Linked DNA regions of Lytechinus pictus. Each later gene encodes a partner of the first gene's protein in a complex. Links are inferred from orthologs where the notes say so. Each region holds a gene or a part of one and is shown on either strand. Other genes may lie near its edges.

The links.
Region 2: the proteins of probable cytosolic iron-sulfur protein assembly protein CIAO1 homolog (region 1) and cytosolic iron-sulfur assembly component 2B-like are in contact, whole or in part, in a crystal structure (PDB 6TBN), measured with the Drosophila melanogaster proteins. The link is inferred for Lytechinus pictus from reciprocal best matches to the Drosophila melanogaster genes Ciao1 and galla-2. Residues at the interface, in NP_610996.1 of Drosophila melanogaster: Arg16, Trp18, Arg60, Thr61, Arg63, Phe79, Glu105, Lys107, Arg123, Asp150, Lys152, Tyr168, Asn170, Ser195, Thr196, Trp198, Thr216, Ser248, Gly249, Gln250, His251, Ser252, Arg253, Tyr256, Gly272, Asp273, Asp274, Arg277, Glu299, Gln304; in NP_648416.1 of Drosophila melanogaster: Ser74, Pro106, Lys109, Thr111, Ala124, Lys127, Gln128, Asp131, Lys132, Glu133, Arg134, Ala136, Ala137, Glu140.

The regions. Positions count from the first base shown.
Region 1 is NC_087256.1:15,793,209-15,802,528, reverse strand, and holds the start of probable cytosolic iron-sulfur protein assembly protein CIAO1 homolog, read left to right. Parts: upstream 1-5,144; 5' UTR 5,145-5,257; coding exon of another isoform or gene 5,258-5,362; 5' UTR 5,363-5,555; coding exon 5,556-5,700; intron 5,701-6,910; coding exon 6,911-7,171; intron 7,172-8,022; coding exon 8,023-8,114; intron 8,115-8,886; coding exon 8,887-9,088; intron 9,089-9,320. Other genes in the region: spermatogenesis-associated protein 24-like, read right to left, coding at 43-108, 5,258-5,362. UniProt on the Drosophila melanogaster protein: Essential component of the cytosolic iron-sulfur (Fe/S) protein assembly machinery. Required for the maturation of extramitochondrial Fe/S proteins.
Region 2 is NC_087246.1:39,216,000-39,225,244, forward strand, and holds the start of cytosolic iron-sulfur assembly component 2B-like, read left to right. Parts: upstream 1-5,495; 5' UTR 5,496-5,574; coding exon 5,575-5,701; intron 5,702-8,620; coding exon 8,621-8,700; intron 8,701-9,103; coding exon 9,104-9,229; intron 9,230-9,245. UniProt on the Drosophila melanogaster protein: Component of the crb-galla-Xpd (CGX) complex which is essential for proper mitotic chromosome segregation in early embryos. The CGX complex is also required for cell proliferation in developing wing disks.

The DNA.
Region 1 (9,320 bases):
TTTGGTTTTAAGGTGGATACAAGATGATCTTGACAATCTCACCTCAAGTTCTTGTTGAAGTCTGTCAACTTCTGATTGTTCAATACCAGAGCTCTTTGATGAAGGCACCTAAAACAAAACAAACATTCAAATTGTAAACTGCTACAAATAACAATTTAGGGAGAACAGAAGGGGGGGGGGGGGGGAAGGTTCCCCAGTGCACACTATTTCATGCATATATGCACATTCATTGTTGTCAAATTGCCAATGGGCCAGTATTCAATTGAAAGTATTAATTTTACTTAGCATAATTTTACTTGGCAAAGTAAAATACTTAACAATGGCAAAGCAAAATTCTTAAACTTGTTAAGTATTTTACTTTATTATTAAAGCCAAATTTAAGCAAAATATTTATTATTACACTGTATATTAACGATTGTGACATCATAAAGTTTAAGCCATAGGGTGTCAAAAGCAATAAATAATGTCTCGACTCCTTAACTTAGTGTTTGACATATACATGTATATATATTTTTTAATATTCTTGAAGTTCATGTTCTACATGTATATAAACCACTCCATCACTGACATGATGCTACAGGGCATCGAATCTTTAGGTACCCGTCCTGACTCAGTCCGTACTAGCAGGGAGAAGCTCTGGATGAGACGACTTCGCACCACCCAACCTCATGGCCTGAACATCCAAGAGGGGAACGACTGATTTTTCTTTCCTATCCACTTTCAATTTATATATACATATAATTTTTCCCCTCAGCTCTTTTGAATAGTTACATTATAGTTTCTTCCTCTACTTTCCTCCCATATCTCATACAAGCTCAGCTCCAAATTTTCCTTCCTTATTCAGGCGATATAATAATTATTATATATATATATTTGTTTTTTCTCCACTCACCTCTTTTAGATTTACCACATTTGCTTATTTACATGTATACTTTGGTTTCTTCATAATACACCCCTTCTCTTCTATATTTGCTTTTACCTTTTTAGGCAATTTGCTTCCTCTTTTTCACATATACAGGTTTTTTTTTTTTTTTTTTCCTACTATATAGTCTTATGTTTTTTTCCTGTCACACCTAGCGGATTACAATATCAGTTACACCATATGTTTATTTATATTTTTTCATATACATTTCTTTTTTGGATATATTTTTATACATATCACTTATAGATACATATTTACACTTACCTTCTTCTCTTAGTTTGTTTAATGCTTTATCATATATACTTATATGTCTTTTGCACATTATCAGTTGTTCCCCATTCTTTTCCTTTTTTCCCCCACTCTTATGCACCAGTTTATTATGCCTTTCTTTGTAACCTGTTTGACCCACCTCTCACTAATTCTCTTGTTATTCATCCCATTATCACTGTTTTGTTCCAGATCCTGTTTGATATTGCCTGCCTCATTATCTTAATCCCTCTTGGCTTGAGGTCTTTTACTGGCCTTACTTATACTAACTTCCCTTTGTGTCTGCCTACTCCTTTTCTTTCATCCCCTTCACTAACCTGATTGGTCTTCTCTACTCACTAATGCCCCTTTTGTCTCCTTGTTTATAGTGTTGCTGTAGCTTGTTTGTGGTCTATATTATGGTTGTTCCACTTTATATGTTTGTCATTTTGCCTCCGACGAAGATTCTGCTAGGATCAAAAGCTTAGGCCCCTTTTTGACTTTCTGTATATAAACTTCCATAAAGTTATGAACTTTATGACCAACATTTATGATCATCGTAATTTTTAACATTGTTTTCTGTTAAATAGTATTTTTCCACTGCCTAAATATTGATTTTACACATCTTTCTATTTTGTTTATTATTGCCATGCTACTTTACCTACTTGGCATGTTTGTATCTGTGCAAGTTTCACATTTTTTTTTGTCCTTGGTTACTTTTCATACCCAATTTTCTCTCAAGTCTAAACATTAAATCACATTTGTATTTCTTGCATTATACCTGACGTTTGAAATAAATAAATTAGATTTTTCACAAGCAGCCTCTCATATTTTCCTTCTTAGTCTCATACAGTCAGACACGTTGACTTTGTTTACTTGATTCAAACCCTATTTTTACCTCAACAAATAACTTTTAAAGCATAATTTGCAAAATTATCACTTCAAATATTAAAGTATTCATAAAAATTCAGAATATTTCAATATGTCGAAATTACTGATTTACTTCCATTTTCATTTTCGAACAAGTGTCTCTCTCGTATATCAATGAAAGGTGTCCTTAAAAAGACTATGTGTTCTAGATAAGGAAAATAATGAAAATTTCGATTTTATCCAGTTATTATGTTTGTGGATCTAGTTTAACTTTAAAGTTGTTTCTCTTTTTTTTTCACCTCATAAAGTACATGTAAGCTCCGGATATCAACATCTCCATATGTACATCAATTCCACAATCTGTAATACATACATAATTTTTTGATCTCCATTTATGGAAAATTAAATAGGTCTATACGATTTTATGAAAAGTTGTCATTCCGTAATAGGTTGAATTAGGTTCAGGTGGCGATGAAGACAAAATTTTTTGACGATACTAACTTAGATCTAACTTAACGTGTCGTGACTAAATGATGTATATACATGTAGTCTAGGCCTATACCAGGTAGTCTAATCAAACAATTCAATGTCAAAGTTGGATTGGATGACAAATTTGCCTTCGTGAAACTGAAAGCGCTGATTTGTCGCCAATCTTCCTATCTCGGAAGAATGGTCCTTCGACGTCCCTACTATGCTCATCTCGTCATGAAACAGGCCCAGGCATGGTCATGCTGGCTCCCTACCACCTAGACCAAAAGCTTCGGTCTCTGTTATATTGGTTGTTCCGCTGAACTCCGTTGGCTCTTGCACTCACCAATTACAGAGACCGAAGTTCTAACTTAACTTGATCTGTAGTTACAGGGACTCAATGGCCATATGTTTATGAACTACATGTATTAAGTTCGGATAAACCAGAGCAGTGGGAGTTACTCGACAGCCGAAGTAAGTCACTCTTTTTTTTCCTTTTAAGTTTATTTTTTCCCGTTTTGGTGCATTTCAGGCCAAAATGGAATCTAAATTCTAATAATCTTCTTTTTAGGGCTAGACCAATGAAATAGGGTCTAAAGAAAAAAAAAGACAAAAATCAATGAGCCCCGTCGGGGGGATTTTGCATTGTTAACCCTGTAATGGTGGCTGCACAATCGCGAGCCATCTGCGTATGAGGAGAATTAAAAAAATTTATTAAATGTTAAGAAACAGACGGCTGCCAGCAGTCTACTGTACCGCCTAGACAGCTGGCAGCCGTCTGTTTCGAGGAGTTTTTTAACATTTTTTAATTTTTTATTTCTCCTCGTACATAGTCGGCTCGCGATCGTGCAGCCGCCATTAGGGCATTAACAATGCAAAATCCCCCCGATGGGGCTCACTCACACATATTGCGAGGTTAGTATTAGTATACTATAACCTCGCACCATGAACCGCGTTTGGCAGTGGATTTCTAACTAGTGGGTCGCGCGTGCTGCGATCCCACTTCTGGTGTCCACAACACACGACTTCTATGGCTTGATTTTTATGTGCGTGGCGGCATGTAATGAACCCTTGAGTGGACGGGGCTCATCGATTTTTGTCTTTATATCATAAAAATATATAAAAAGAACTGGACCAAAATAAAGATTATTAGGCCTTATCCTGAAATATGTCACCTCTCTTCTCGTGTGTGTCAGTGTGTGTGCGCTCGCTGTGTACAAAGTCAATGGGAGATGAAAGAATTCACCACCGCTTACAAAATGAACGGCAGTGAATGGAGTGGTGACTTAAACCAGGATAGACCTTATCGCAAATAGATTCACGAAAAGGATCATGGGATCAAAAAGGGAGCAATAGCGCCGCTATTGTCCGGATGCGGACATGCGAACGCAAGCAGCCGACAATAAAGTGGACGATTTCCATAGTATATCAAAATAGGATCAACGCCGCAGCCAACATTTTGCTAACTTCCAGTAAACGCCTCGTCATATTTGTTCCAGAGTCTAACATCACTTTTCTTCTTAATTATGGGTGGCAGAGAAAGATGTGCTGTCTATAGCTGTAAGAATTACCACAGATTTAATTTTTTGCTAAGTTTGAATGTACTTTCTTTTTTATAATGTGACATTTTATGTAAAAAAAAAACAATCCAAAAATCGGGTTTCCGCCGAATGTTAGATCTAATGTTACTGCTAATACTGCCAACAACTCTTCAGTCTATGTATTGGTGAGTGGAGCCAACACAGTTCAGCGGAACAACCAAAATACAGAGACTGAAGCTTTTGGTCTAACCCCCCCCCCCCCCTTTCTTGTAATGATCAAACTCAAAAGTCCGATTTGCAAAGGACTATATTTCCCCCAAAATAACAAAAACTAGCTAAATTTATTAGTTATGGAAATATATACATGTATCATGGCCTACATTATGATTCTCATCAATATTCTTTAATGGAAAAATAGCCTCAGGCTCTCTTCGGATCGCCGATCGGGGGCGAAAGTTTCAGGGTTTTTTGCGGTACACGCAGATGAATAGGAAGGACTCCCTGGCTTCATGGAGAGTAAGCCTACGTTAGTAAATGATTTTTACTCTCAAGAAGCCGCCTGGCTACTATACATTACCCCCGGGAATAATACATGTACCCCGGAGAAGTTAAAATGACATCCGTTTTTGGTCGTCCTGCCGTGCAAAAAGACGACCTGAAATTGATGACAACCAGCCCCCATATAAAAAATAACTTGGCGCCATCCCACCCAGATAAAATGCATCAGAGTGCAACCAAAAAAATGTTTAGAGGTGATATGTCAGTGTGGCTTGCCGTAAATGCATTTTCTCTCAATGCCGACGGTGGCGGGCGGTGTGCAAAGAAGATCATGCCTCGTCGTAGGACATGTCTGGTCCTCTGGAGGTGTCTTTCCAAGGACCATTCTTCGTAATCGCCCAAATCGGCTTTGTTAAACAGTTGAGCGATATCTCGTTCTTACGTAGAATGGTTCTACGAAAGACCCTTTCATGCAACAGGCCCCAGCAGAACAACCAATTTAACAGAGACCGAAGCTTGTTTTGATCTACACTACCACCTTGCTCTCGCTCTCGGCCCTGGCCTGACTCATCACGCCACCGCACCGGCCCGCGGGGAGCATGAGCATCCGTCGCAGACGTAGCGGCGCGCGCTCGGCTTGGAATGGATCTCTTTCGCCCTCTTTCGCTCTCCTTTGTATTTTTGATTGAAGTCGGTTGGTTATTTAACTCACATTTGAATATTTACGGTCCACTAGTTTCTTCTGTGCAGTCAAAACATCCTTAAGCTGGTTAAAGACGATTTGCAGAGATGATCCTGAAATGTTATGTTCTGTCATTTCCAAATTTAATCTTCCCGGATTTTCAATTTTTTATAAATGTCGCGAGATGGCGCTACACACCGGAAAGTTTGTGATGTGCATATGCAACCAGCCGAAATAGAAGAAAAACAACTCCCAATTATTGATAACTTTAACGATCTATTTATTCTCCCTAAAGGATCAGGAGTGGAAAGGACCTGTAAAACAGTCAATGAACCAAATGGATGGAAATTTGCAGCCGATTTCAACATTGTCTGGTCATCACGACCGCGTTTGGTGCGTTTCGTGGAATCCGACCGGGACACTTCTGGCGAGCTGTGGAGGTGACAAGACGGTCAGAATCTGGGGCAAAGAAGGTAGATAATTCCCGATCAAAGAATTGAATGCTAAGTAGATCTATAGGGAATGATTCTTGCTAATAATGTGTGCACTTGTGCCTTGTTTACAAAGATTTTTGAAATGGCGGAGCCTAACAAGTTTAACATTAGAACATGGTTAAAGTTAAAACTTAAAAACTTAAAGTTAGTCTGACTTCGTTAGGCGCTCACGTGCGTCATTTAGCCTTAAATTAAACGAAAGTTAGATCTAACGTTGTCGTTAGATCTAACGTTAACAAGTTCGATATCTAAGTTGGGTCTAATGTTAGGGCGGGCCTAGACTCAAGTAGATTGTAGACCCCTACGTCTACTCGTTATGAAAATTATTTACACCAATAACTTTCTTGCTCTTTGTAATATATAGACTCCTAATTTACTTTTTTTTTAAAATCTTTTTGTACCGGTACCGTAAGGGCACTAGTATTCAACCCGTTTGGAGAGTTTCCTAAAATATATAGAAATATAGAATTTACCTGAATTTCAGACCCGTCTTATTTCCAAGAGCAAATGCTGGTGATTCTTTTTCCGTTATTTTTTTCTTCAACCAGTTGACTGTGTGCGCGGGCGATCGAATTATACGGCGACGAATTTTGGTACTAGTATTCAACCCGTCGGTACTAGTATTCAACCTAGCGATGAAAGATGGCCCTGTCTCTCAATCTGCCCTTGTCCCATCCGACTATGGACTAGACCATTTGAGATGAGACCAAACGGGGAATTAATCAAAGCCAGAGACTTACATAGATCTACATCTAATTTAGCAATCTAAACCCTTTTGAGATTTGCTATCAATCCTCACTAGGTTGAATACTAGTACCATTCAGTGCAAAAGGCCATCGCCGCATAATTCGATCCTCCGCGCATACAGTCGACAGATTGACAAAGAAAATATCGACAACAGATTACCCTGGAAATAACAAAGGTATGAAAGTAAGATAAATTCCCTATTTCTAAATATTTTGGGGAATATGTCAAAATCTTTGAATTATGCCGGGTTGAATACTAGTACCCATACGGTAGTGTTTTTTTTCTTCTTTTGCATTAAGTGACGAGACTCTATTTGCATTAAAAAAATACAGAAAATCTGCTGGAAGCTGTTTTTATCTGTCTTATACTGAGAGTTCTAGTTCATTACTCCATTAAACACTTTATTATCATGACAATAATGATTATTGTGTTCTCTCACAAGGTGATAATTGGGTCTGTAAGAAGATCCTCCAGGATGGCCACACAAGGACCATCCGACGTGTTGCCTGGTCACCCTGCGGTCAGCTGCTGGCCTCGGCAGGCTTTGATGCCCAGACCTGCATCTGGGATCGTCGCAGCGGAGAGTTTGAGTGCAGCGCCACCCTAGAGGGCCATGAGAATGAGGTGAAGAGTGTTGCTTGGTCACAGTCTGGCTCACTCTTATCAACGTGCAGCAGGGACAAAAGTGTTTGGATCTGGGAAGGTAAGCATTGACAGTACAACACACATCATCAAGGGCATGTGTTAGAATAAAACGCCAGAGCCCCATAATTATTATTTGGTCTGTTTCAGATGTAACAAGTGTAATTATTCTCATGTCCAAGCAAAATCATGTGTATTATGGGATTATGTTTTGTGAGATAGTGACACTGGCAGTTCCAGGGGGGGTGCAAAGCCGGCCGGTGCCCCCTTTTGAGAAGCACAATTAAAATTTGTAATGTGAAAATGCTGTTAAAACAGAAGTGTACCCCCGCCCTTTGAAAGTGAAGACCTTTTACTTTTTTTTCTTTTTTTTTTTGCTTGTCAAACTCTTCTTTTTTTTCTTTCTTTTTTTCAGCTTGTCAAATTTTTCCTCTGGAAAATATGCCCCCCCCCCTTTTGGAAAATCCTGGATCCACCCCTGGATAGTGATGTTTGATCCTTGTTATTTGATGAACCATCCTCATTGCAAAACCATGACTGGTCAATAGAACTTGTCAAATTATCTTGTTAGCTACTGATGAATGGCCATGTGATTGATTTCAGCCAATCGTTTGATGAGGATCCATATTACCATTCGATGAATTATTATATCAATTATGATTTTTAAATGCCTACTTCTATAGGTATTGTTCCAAGGTGTAGAAAAATTGGATCATACATGTAGATTATTTGATAGACTATTAAGAAAAGCATACTTACTGCAATAGCCTTCTTGTGGATGTTCATAAATCCTTCTGAATTAACTGTTCTGATTAACTTTTGAAAAAGCTTGGACATATGATCGGGGGAGCTATCGATATGGTATTATTTTGTTTTGTGTTTTTATTTTATATTTGAATGACTAATTTGCAGTTGACCAAGAAGACGATGATTACCAATGTGCCAGTGTACTCAGCATTCATACTCAAGATGTGAAGCATATCGCCTGGCAGCCTGGACGTGAGGTACGATATATGCATTCTGAATAATCAATACACCTGTTCATAACTATCAGACTGCATTTTTCCCTTAGATATGTAACTTGTTATAATTTTAAGATACCATAATTAGTATTGACACTCTTATGGAATAGAAAATGAATAATCATACAGGTATATATAAGAAAATATCCCGTAAACTCATACAAGATTGCATCATGAAAGGATATGTAAGTCATTGAGTCAATAATTGCCTTTCTTAAACAATGATAGTAATTATGTAGTTTTATTTCTATTGAGTTACAATTTAGTATAATTTGAATTTTCTTCACCTTTAATGTGTTCTGTCTCTCAACAGTATCAGGGTTCCACAGTCATGAAAAATCGTGGAAAAATTTGTGGTCATGGAAAGTCAGGGACTTTGGGAAATTTGTGAAAAGTCATGGAATTGCATTTACCTCTTGGCTATGGCAGTTTTCCAGTTTGTCGTGTTTCGCAACTCTCATACTATGCTATTATAATTGGTGCTCATGATTTCCATTTTTCCCAGTTTTGTGACATCCCAAAATCTACATTACTCCCGGGACGTCACAGGAAGTCATGGAAAGCAGCAATTTAGTCATGGAAAAGTCATGGAATTCTGTTTTCAAATTTCTGTGGAAACCCTGAGTATACATAGTTATTCTTTTATTTCTCTCTTACCTTATTCCCTCAAATTTTTGTTCTTCCCTGTCCTCTTCTCACAATGCTTTGTTTTTCACTTTCTCTCCATCTGTTCATGTTTATCTTTACCACATAGATCTTGGCATCCTGTAGCTATGACAACACTATCCGGTTGTTCCACGAGGAAGACGATGACTGGAGCAGCTTTGAGACCCTCGACGGTCACGAGTCGACGGTATGGGCCATCAGCTTCGATAAGACCGGTTCCAGGCTGGCTTCTTGCAGCGATGACAAGACCGTCAAGATCTGGCAGGAATATCAGCCAGGAAATCCTGAAGGTATATATACAAACATGGCCTAGCAACATAAGAGATAAGATTGATTGAACAATTATGGATAACTTTAATTCTATGGTCAATACAAGTGGTTGCAATATTAGTCGTATCTCTTTATATCACAGGGCCCAGCTCTATCCTTGTGGTTGCCTACATGCTTTTCCTGTTACAGGAAAGGCCTAATTCGCACAAATTGTAATTTAGGAAAGTGTAAAAAGCAAAAACAATGAAAAGT
Region 2 (9,245 bases), on another chromosome or scaffold:
ATTACCGTGGTAACCTAGATTATGATTGGTTATAGCAGTTACCATCGTAGTTAACTACGATGGTAACGGCTATATATAACCAATCATTATTACCATACTTGTAACTCATGATGAAACGTGCCCCAGTTTATCATGTTTAATACGTTTCCTGTCCCCTCTATTCTCCAGCATTTCTTGCTCTGTTTTTCCATTTAATAATTTTCCCACTCACGTTATTTTGGTGCCGCCTTTCTCCTACATATATTTCCTTCTTCTTTTCCCACTTGTTATCTGTCTCCTGGTTTCCATAAATCTCGTCTTATTTCTCTTCCACCCCTTTGTTCCTACTTCCCACCATTCGTGCTCTCTTACCCCCCCTCTAAATTATCTCTTCATATGTGCCCCTCCATTTCTTTCTCATCTCTTTTCAACCCCCTTCTCATCACTCTTTCTCTCTCTCGATCTCCATCTCATTTGAATTTTGCCAATTCCAAATCCCTTTCATTTTAGCTCTGTACAAATACTATACAAATGAAAGACATGAAGGCATTTTATGGTTAGTTGTGAATTTTATTAATAGCCAAAAAAAATATCACATTATCAGAGGATTTAGCCTTACTTTTTTTCTTAAGCGTATGTTAATACTTTGAATCGAACGAAAAATGTTTTTTGTATGCAGGGGCAGCGATCCTGGGGGGCACAGTTCCCCCTACTTTTTAAAGCACTGAAAAGTGCCTTTAATTTTATGTAAGAAAAATGCCCCCTCACGAACGTGTACTGTGTCCCTTTCACCTGACGAGAACCTGTTTTAGGTGTTACCAAGTGCTCTTCCTTGTATGCAAATTTTTACCAAAAATGCCCCCCGAACGTGTTCTGTGCCCTTTCATCTGAGGGCCCGTTTTAAGTGTTAAAAAGTACCCCCTCGCCTTCTTGTAAGTGCCCTTTCTCTAATAACTGCCCCCTTTTATCCAAGAAAAGTGCTCCTAAAGAATGACGAGTGCCCTTTGAAACAAGAAAACAATAAGGAAATCCTTTGTGCATTAAGTTTAATAATTCATGTGAGTGGGGGTAGATAAGCAGTTTCGTACACTACAGATGGAGGGGGGGGGGGCTTGAAGGACTCTTGCCCCCCCCCCCAAAAAAAAGGGTGAAATATATCATTCTGAATATTTTGTCGAAATCTATCACAAAATTGGATTTTCTTTTTAAAAATGTCAAAATTTTGCTCTCTCGCAACTTCTTTAAAATTTCACATAATACAGCATTTTCCCTGTGCCCCCCCCCACTTTCAACTTCACTTCGCCGCTCCTATTTGTATGTTTATAGCTTTTCCTTTTGCAACCAGTTTTAATGAAAATCGACAGGAAATTTCATACTTCATGAATTTGGGGTTGTGATGATAATTAAAAAAAAAAACCTTTTCCATCTTTATCAAGTGCTTCCTAAGCTAAGTCACTCTTCAATTTGTTGGGTTTCTTGAATGAAAACATCTGTTACACCAGTCCTGCAGATTGAAAAAATAGAGAAAGAAAATCAATGAATTTAAATTAAAATTGTCATGATTTGTAAAACATAAATGTTTGAAGAAAAGTAAGACTATACATACCGGTATATAAATTTCTTCATCACATAACATAGGAAATCTTACTTCTACTAATTATAAACTTGTACTTCTACAAAGCATATCACTTAAACCTGTTCTATGCAGTTTGCATACCACTCTCCATTATAACTACATGTACTATATAAAAAAAATGTCAGAGATTTCCCATAAATATGAATATATGAATTAACATATAAATTATATATAATAGTCAGAATTAAAGATGATGTTTTGTTGCACAGAATATTTTGATCTGCGAATAAAAACGACACCTATCTATAACCTAAAAACAGAATTGAAATGTTTTTTTCAAAGGCAGGTCTATTTGTTGCCTAAAAATATTGTGAAAACCCCCCATTATTAAAAATAATCACTTATTAACTCACTCATATAACTGCTGTAGGTTGTATTTCTCTTTGTGGTCCTATCACTGTTCTATTAGGCCTACTTCACCAATTGTTTATCATCATCAATCACCTCCATGGAAATTGTAAAACTGCATCATCCTATTGGACAAAATGTAAAATAACAAGATTTAAAAAAAATCGTAAATCTACAAATATGAAATATGAATATCACACTAAAGAATGCATGAAATGAATTTTGTAAAATATGAAAAATAAATATTGCTTTGTGTAGTACGGGGTTCTGACAATATCTCATTTCTAGTACTCTTAACACAGAGGCAGCCCAGCAGACATGTTGTCAGGTTGATAACTTACTGGCCAACTCCCAGATTTTAATGACTCAAAGCCTTGTTGCATTCTTTGTAACATTCCATGCAAATTACTTAAGGCACATCAATATTCATATAAATGTAAATCAATATAACAAAGTATAACTGAATATTCAAATATACAAACAAAGGATATATATTGACCATTCAAACTATATGCAAATTATTATTTAAGCTTGAGTGCATCAACTTAACATTATAACCAATCAGAAGGAGAGTGAGAGAGAGAGAGAGGAGTGAAGAAAGCTGTATGAAGGATGGTGGAGTGAATTAATACCAAACAACCTTGTGTACAGAGTGTACAGCAGTTAATGTGTAAGAGAGAGCTATACATGAAGAATAGGAAGTTAGGATGAAAAGGGTGAATATAAATGAGGGATGTTCTATTAGAAAAAGGGGATGATTCCTGGATAAGAGTGGAAAGAAATATAAGTACAAAATCAATCCCTACACTTTGTTTATAAACAAATAGGAAATAAAAAGGCCATTTAATTACTAGTAGATCAAGGACATGACCTTATTTTATAAATTTGTCCAAGGTACATAACTTTTGGCATTGGTTCTATTTTAGACTCGAGAGCCTGTATATTAAGAAGTGTATATTCATTACAGATCCTACCTCTTTGTAGCTCAGATTATTTTTATTTAATGTAAACATGGTTAACATTCAATGCATATGCAATGTATCTGTAATTTTGTATGGGTTAGTTTAAGTTTTATACCTGGATGAGAATCTGCAAAATGATGCATGCACTTATGATCATCATCTTGAACCATATAGGTAGACCTCTACTGTTTTTCTTGTTCTTCAAACTCAACCTGTTTGTGAAAGAGAGAGAACAATAATAAGAAATGATCTTTTTCATGGCCGTATGTATAGGGGGAGGGGTTTGGGTAAGAGCTGAAATCAGAAATGTGAAAACCTTCATCAAAAAGAGAATTGCATGACATCCTTCAATTTTACTTTAGAAAATGCACAAAACGGCCCTAGGTAATATTGGTCGCTTCTGGCCCTCGCTTTCTGAATTTTAGGTTTCTCTAAATTTTTTCACATGTCTGCCCCCCCCCCCCAAAAAAAAAAATCTGGATCTTTTTATTTCCGAATCTTATTTCATTAGACTTTAACATAATTTCATAATCTCATGCACTAGGTCTAGATCTATTTGTAAGAAAGTATAGATCTAGTCCAACGAGACTCAATGCTGTGCGACAGCATTCATGTATCTAAATTAGGTCTAGATCTAGACTAACGATGGACTCTCGATCTATCTAGACCTAGAAAGTAAAGCTTCGGTTCTAAACCCTATATCGGTTTAGAAATTTTTGATGTCTGACTTTGACTTTTATTCCTGGCTAAGACTTCATTGCCATTATTGACCGAGAGTAGATCTAGATCTAGTCCGACTCCTTGGTCCACTGACAGTCATACTCGTACATGTAAATGGAGTCGTTTAGGCCCAGACCTAGATCTAGGCCTAAATTACAGACCTAGATCATAAGCCCTGGGGGCAAGTATCGAGGGTTGGGAAAGTATAAGTTAGACTAGATTTTAATTAGGTAGGCCTAGCTCTTGATAAAATGATAGCATCGATGAATAAATAAAAGTAAAGTAGCCTAGATCTAAGTATAAACATGAAGTAAGTAGGGCCTAGGATTAAGAAGATCTAGGTCATAGATCTATTGATAATAAGACAAACATGCAGAGCAGCATGTTATTTCTAAGACCGAGTCTATAAATTTATGAATAACAATTAACCCAGAGAGCTCCCGCCCGCGCAGCGGGCGGGAGCCCAGAAGCTTACCGTGTATTTTACCATTGTCACCGGACTAGGGTGATTTATGGTCTAAATATTTCTCCAAATGAATTGTGAAAACGGAAAGTATACAATTACCACGATTATATGGATGAAGGTCTAACGAGTGACAGATTCCTGACATCTGGGCACAGTCTGGTACCTCAAAAAAACGAAAAGTTCTCTCCTTCTACCCAGTCTCGATCGGCCATTTTGTTACGATTTTTAACAAAAATGGCCGATCGAGACGGGGTAGAAGGAGAGAACTTTTCGTTTTTTTGAGGTTCCAGACTGTGCCCAGATGTCAGGAATCTGCCACTCGTTAGACCTTCATCCATATAATCGTGGTAATTGTATACTTTCTGTTTTCACAATTCATTTGGAGAAATATTTAGACCATAAATCACCCTAGTCCGGTGACAATGGTAAAATACACGGTAAGCTTCTGGGCTCCCGCCCGCTGCGCGGGCGGGAGCTCTCTGGGTTAAATAACAATAAGAGTTAAAATGGTGGGGGCTAAATGCAGAAGCCTGAAGTTATGCAAAATAAATTTGATATCTGAAAGTGAGGACTGACACAATGTCAATGACAGGCGTATCTTCATCCACACTCCGCTTCACAGTTTATTCCTGACTGAGTCTCGATCTACTGAAGACAGATGCAGATCTCCCTCTAGATCTAACGTTACAGTGTACAAAAAGAAGCCTCATTCTTCTTGTTTTAATCAATCGTGGGTTGGTCCTTGTTGGAGGTGAACCAAACCAGCCCGATTATCTCTCGATTCCCAGCCGGCTAGGAGCCCGTACAAAATACACTGCAAGCAACATACTGGCTGCACTGTGCGACGATGACAATCTAACTTCAATTTCAAAGACCAAATTCTGCTTTCCTTTAACAGAAGAATGATAGCAAACTCTCTAATTTGTTAAAGAAATAACCTAAGATCACAAAATACAGTGTGAAATGTGTAAATAGTCCACTGAATTCATGTGGTTATATCAATTTATACGTACTCACCGGAGTGTTCGTAGGTCCATTTTGTGTGTGGAAAGAAAAGTTTCAGAATGAATAAATTAGATGACGTAATGAGGTCAAATGAATAATTATTTCTGTAACACGATACCACTAGTATCGATGACAAGGAATCGGGGAAATCGCGTATTAATGACGCTCTTAGCCAATGAAAAGGCCGGATTATGAATATCTTCATGCTCATGAATGTCAATGAGGGCTTATTTTTGTCTTCAAATGATCGCGGTAGGCGGAGCCTAATCTCATTTGTTTTGTGCTGAACGCGCACGCAGCTTTCGGTCTAGTAATATATTATAAGGTCTTTGCTCTGTACCGGCCGCGTACGTACCGGCCTGACGTACTACCGCACCACCGGCCGTGCATACCGGGCCGGACGGCGAATATTCGGGTACGTGGGTCGTCGAGGTGTCGTTCCTTCTTCAAACCTTAAGATGTCGGGGCGTGAACAACTGGATAATGTCAACCCCACGATTCATGGAAAGCTTGATAAAAGACACATTCTACCAGCCGAAGAAGATGATGATATCGACGATGCCATCGACACAAGAGAAGTGTTTGATATCCTTTAATTATTTCAATAATATTATGATCAGTAGAGGCGTGGCGCACGGCCAATATTAACCCAGAGAGCTCCCGTCCGCGCGGGCGGGAGCTCTCTGGGTTAGGCCAATATGGGAGACTCTATTACTAGAGAGACAATCTCCCACATTGGAGACTTGCTTTGCAAAGGACAAAAGAAACAACAACAACAAAAGCATAATTTTTTCCACCCAAAATGTTGTCTCACTGAGGTCAGAAGCCCATTTGTTTTGTGTGTGATTGACAACAAATATCCTTATCAAAACAAAAGTAGACGGTGAATTTTTAAAGTAGATGGTGAAAAGGGGTAATTTTTCATGAGGAATCTGCTTATCACATTTTTATTTGCCGCCAAGTTAATCCTTTTGCAGCAAATGTAAACAAAGGAAATTGGACTCCAAAACTGGAGACTGTCTCTGAAATTGGCTGCCCTGAAATTGGATACCCAAATTCTTTACAAAAGTCTCTGATATTATTGGAGATAATCTCCCACATTGGAGACAGTCTCCAATATTGGCTGTGCGCCTCTACTGATGATGGGCATCCATCTAGTCTTGAATTTAAACTTTAAAGGTCAAGTCCACCTCAGAAAAATGTTGATTTGAATCAATAGAGAAAATCAGACAAGCACAATGCTGAAAATTTCATCAAAATCGGATGTAAAATAAGAAAGTTATGACATTTCAAAGTTTTGCTTATTTTTTACCATGTTTACAAAATAGTTAGGCCTAGGCCTATATGAACGAGCCAGTTACATCCAAATGAGAGAGTCGATGTTGTCACTCACTATTTCTTTTGTTTTTTATTGTTTGAATTATACAATATTTCAATTTTTACGAATTTGACGATTAGGACCTTGCCTGAAGCACAAAATGTTAAAATAATGGAATTCCACGTGTTCAGGGAGGAATGAAACTTAATTTCACATGACAATGACGAGAAAATAAAAATATTTCATATAATAAAATACAAAAGAAATAGTGAGTGATGTCATCAGTTCCTCATTTGCATACCGACGGAGATGTGCATATAACTGTTTTGTAAAATGAAGCAAAACTTTAAAATGCCATAACTTTCTTATTTTACCGTGACATCCAATTTTGATGAAATTTTCAGTGTTATGCTTGTTAAATTTTTCTCTTTTTATTCAAATCAAGTTTTTGTTGGGGTGGACATGTCCTTTAAAGAAGAAGAAGATGTTTTATTAATATTTAGACATATATGGTTGTGGATCGTATTACCAAACACTTCATGAATTCAATCATATCAAACACATTATTCTCGTGTAATTCACCGAACTTTTTACCATAAATCACTTGTTCACTGCAACCATCCTGCCTGTGGGGAATCTACAGGTAGAACTATGGTATGCCAATGCTGTACACAGCACACAATTTAAAAAATCATTAAATTTTCACTTTTGTGACCAAAATTACTAATTTCCATACAGTTGCAATTTATTTTTCATTAGTAACCAGGGAATAATTTTTGTATTCACCTGGGGCCTGTTTCTCAACACCTGGACAAGTTAGTCATATCTTTATCCACCAACCACGGAGATAGTTCCAATCTTACTAAACCTGTTTCTCGAAAGGCTTCCTAACTAGAATACCTTGATATCAGATATTCAGATCAGATATTCAAAATTTATTGTCATGCTCAAAATAAAAATTACATTGGCACAAAAATCATATTCCGGCTGTTGGTATACAAAGAACAATATATAACATATAATAAATAATTACAAAAATAATGGCATTAAATAATATACAAAGCAAAAATTACACAAAGACCTAATACTAACCCAGAACAATATGATACCCTGCAAGGGCAGCTGCACTGAAAACTTTACCTGGTGCCGAGGGGGGAAATGCCTCGAGCACGGTGCCAGTCCAACACATCCATGGGCCCCGGTTCGACATTGAAACAATCACAACACATCACACTACTATCGGTAAAAAGAGCAGACGAGACGTAGCCTTAGTCACAAAATAGCATATTTTTCAAAAAGAAAAATTATGACAAAATTGCAAATATTTCGATGAATTGGGAAATACATCTTTTCAAAATAATAGCACATGTAAATTATGCATCATACATATTTAGACCATGAAGGTTGGAGCATTCAATTGCTGAGAAAATTAAATTATGAATAAATAATTTCATGACTAGAAAATCACATGTGGACGTCACTAGCATACCTACGGGGGGGGGGGGCAGAGGGGGCAGTCTGCCCCCCCTGACGAGCTTGAAGACCTTTATTGCCCCCCCCCCCCCTGACGAGCTTGAAGACCCTTTTTTTTTTTTTTTTTTTTTTTTTGCTTGTCAAATTTTTTTCTGGTACGAAATCCTTCATTTGTGATTGAAGACCTTTTTTTTTTTTTTTTTTTGCTTGTCAAATTTTTTGGCGGACGGTTTTGCCCCCCCTGTGAAAAATCCCAGGTACGCCACTGGTGGACGTTGAGATGGGTACCCCTGGGACATCAAATTTTAATAGTTTACGAAAGTAAACCATAACGGTGGTCTTTGTAAAATGATGATAATTATAAGCCCTTCTACGATTCCAAATATCATCAAAAATAAATCTTTGAAACTGAAACATACGATTTGACAAATTCTATGCATAGATTAGAGATCAACATTTTCCTGAGGTGGACTTGACCTTCAAGAACAATTTCAGAGTCAAATTGGCTGATGAGTTAAACCTCTACTTTGAGATATTGATGTCACAATTGGCCATCTGTATTTAAACAACAACTTTAGACCAGAGTTTAAATAAAATCTGACTTCAGAATATGGGCCATTGGGTTTATTTCCTGTTTATTTGTATATTAGAGAAACCTTGAAGAGTACTCAGGTTTTGTGATCTATGTCAAATTTCCTTGACTAGATGTTAACATTTGATCAGAAACATCAATGACCCTGAGCATCCTCTGACATTGGAAGAGTTGAATGTTGTGCAGCAAGCTGAATTAGAGGTATGTCTGAATTCTTTTCTGACTTGTGTTATGATGTCACAACTCACAGTGATTTCATGATTATGTTACGAGTCATGCAGTATGAATTTACAACTTTGTCTAGTTTATTTAGATTATTTGTACTAACTTGTCGTAATTTGCATTTACTCTTTTATAGACTATGATTGGTCCTCATATAATAACCACCTTTCAACCCTCCCTCAGAAATTATCTTTCTGTTTTAACATTTTTTTCAACACCTAATATCCCACTTGCTTTGTATTTCTATGTCAGAATGTTGCCAAGGATTGTTGCACCATGTCTGGATGAGCCTTGATGTGTGTGTATATGTTCAATCATAAAATAATAAAGGTACAGAATGTACAGGTTTGTTCTCTTCTGATCATTTGTTTTTTTTTGTCAGGTTGATGATCCTGGTAATGTAGTGAAAGTGACCTTCACCCCCACCATTCCTCATTGCAGTATGGCTACATTGATTGGACTTGCCATTAGAGTGAAGCTTATCAGGTCATTGCCTTCTAGATTTAAGGTAAGGAAGAACACGT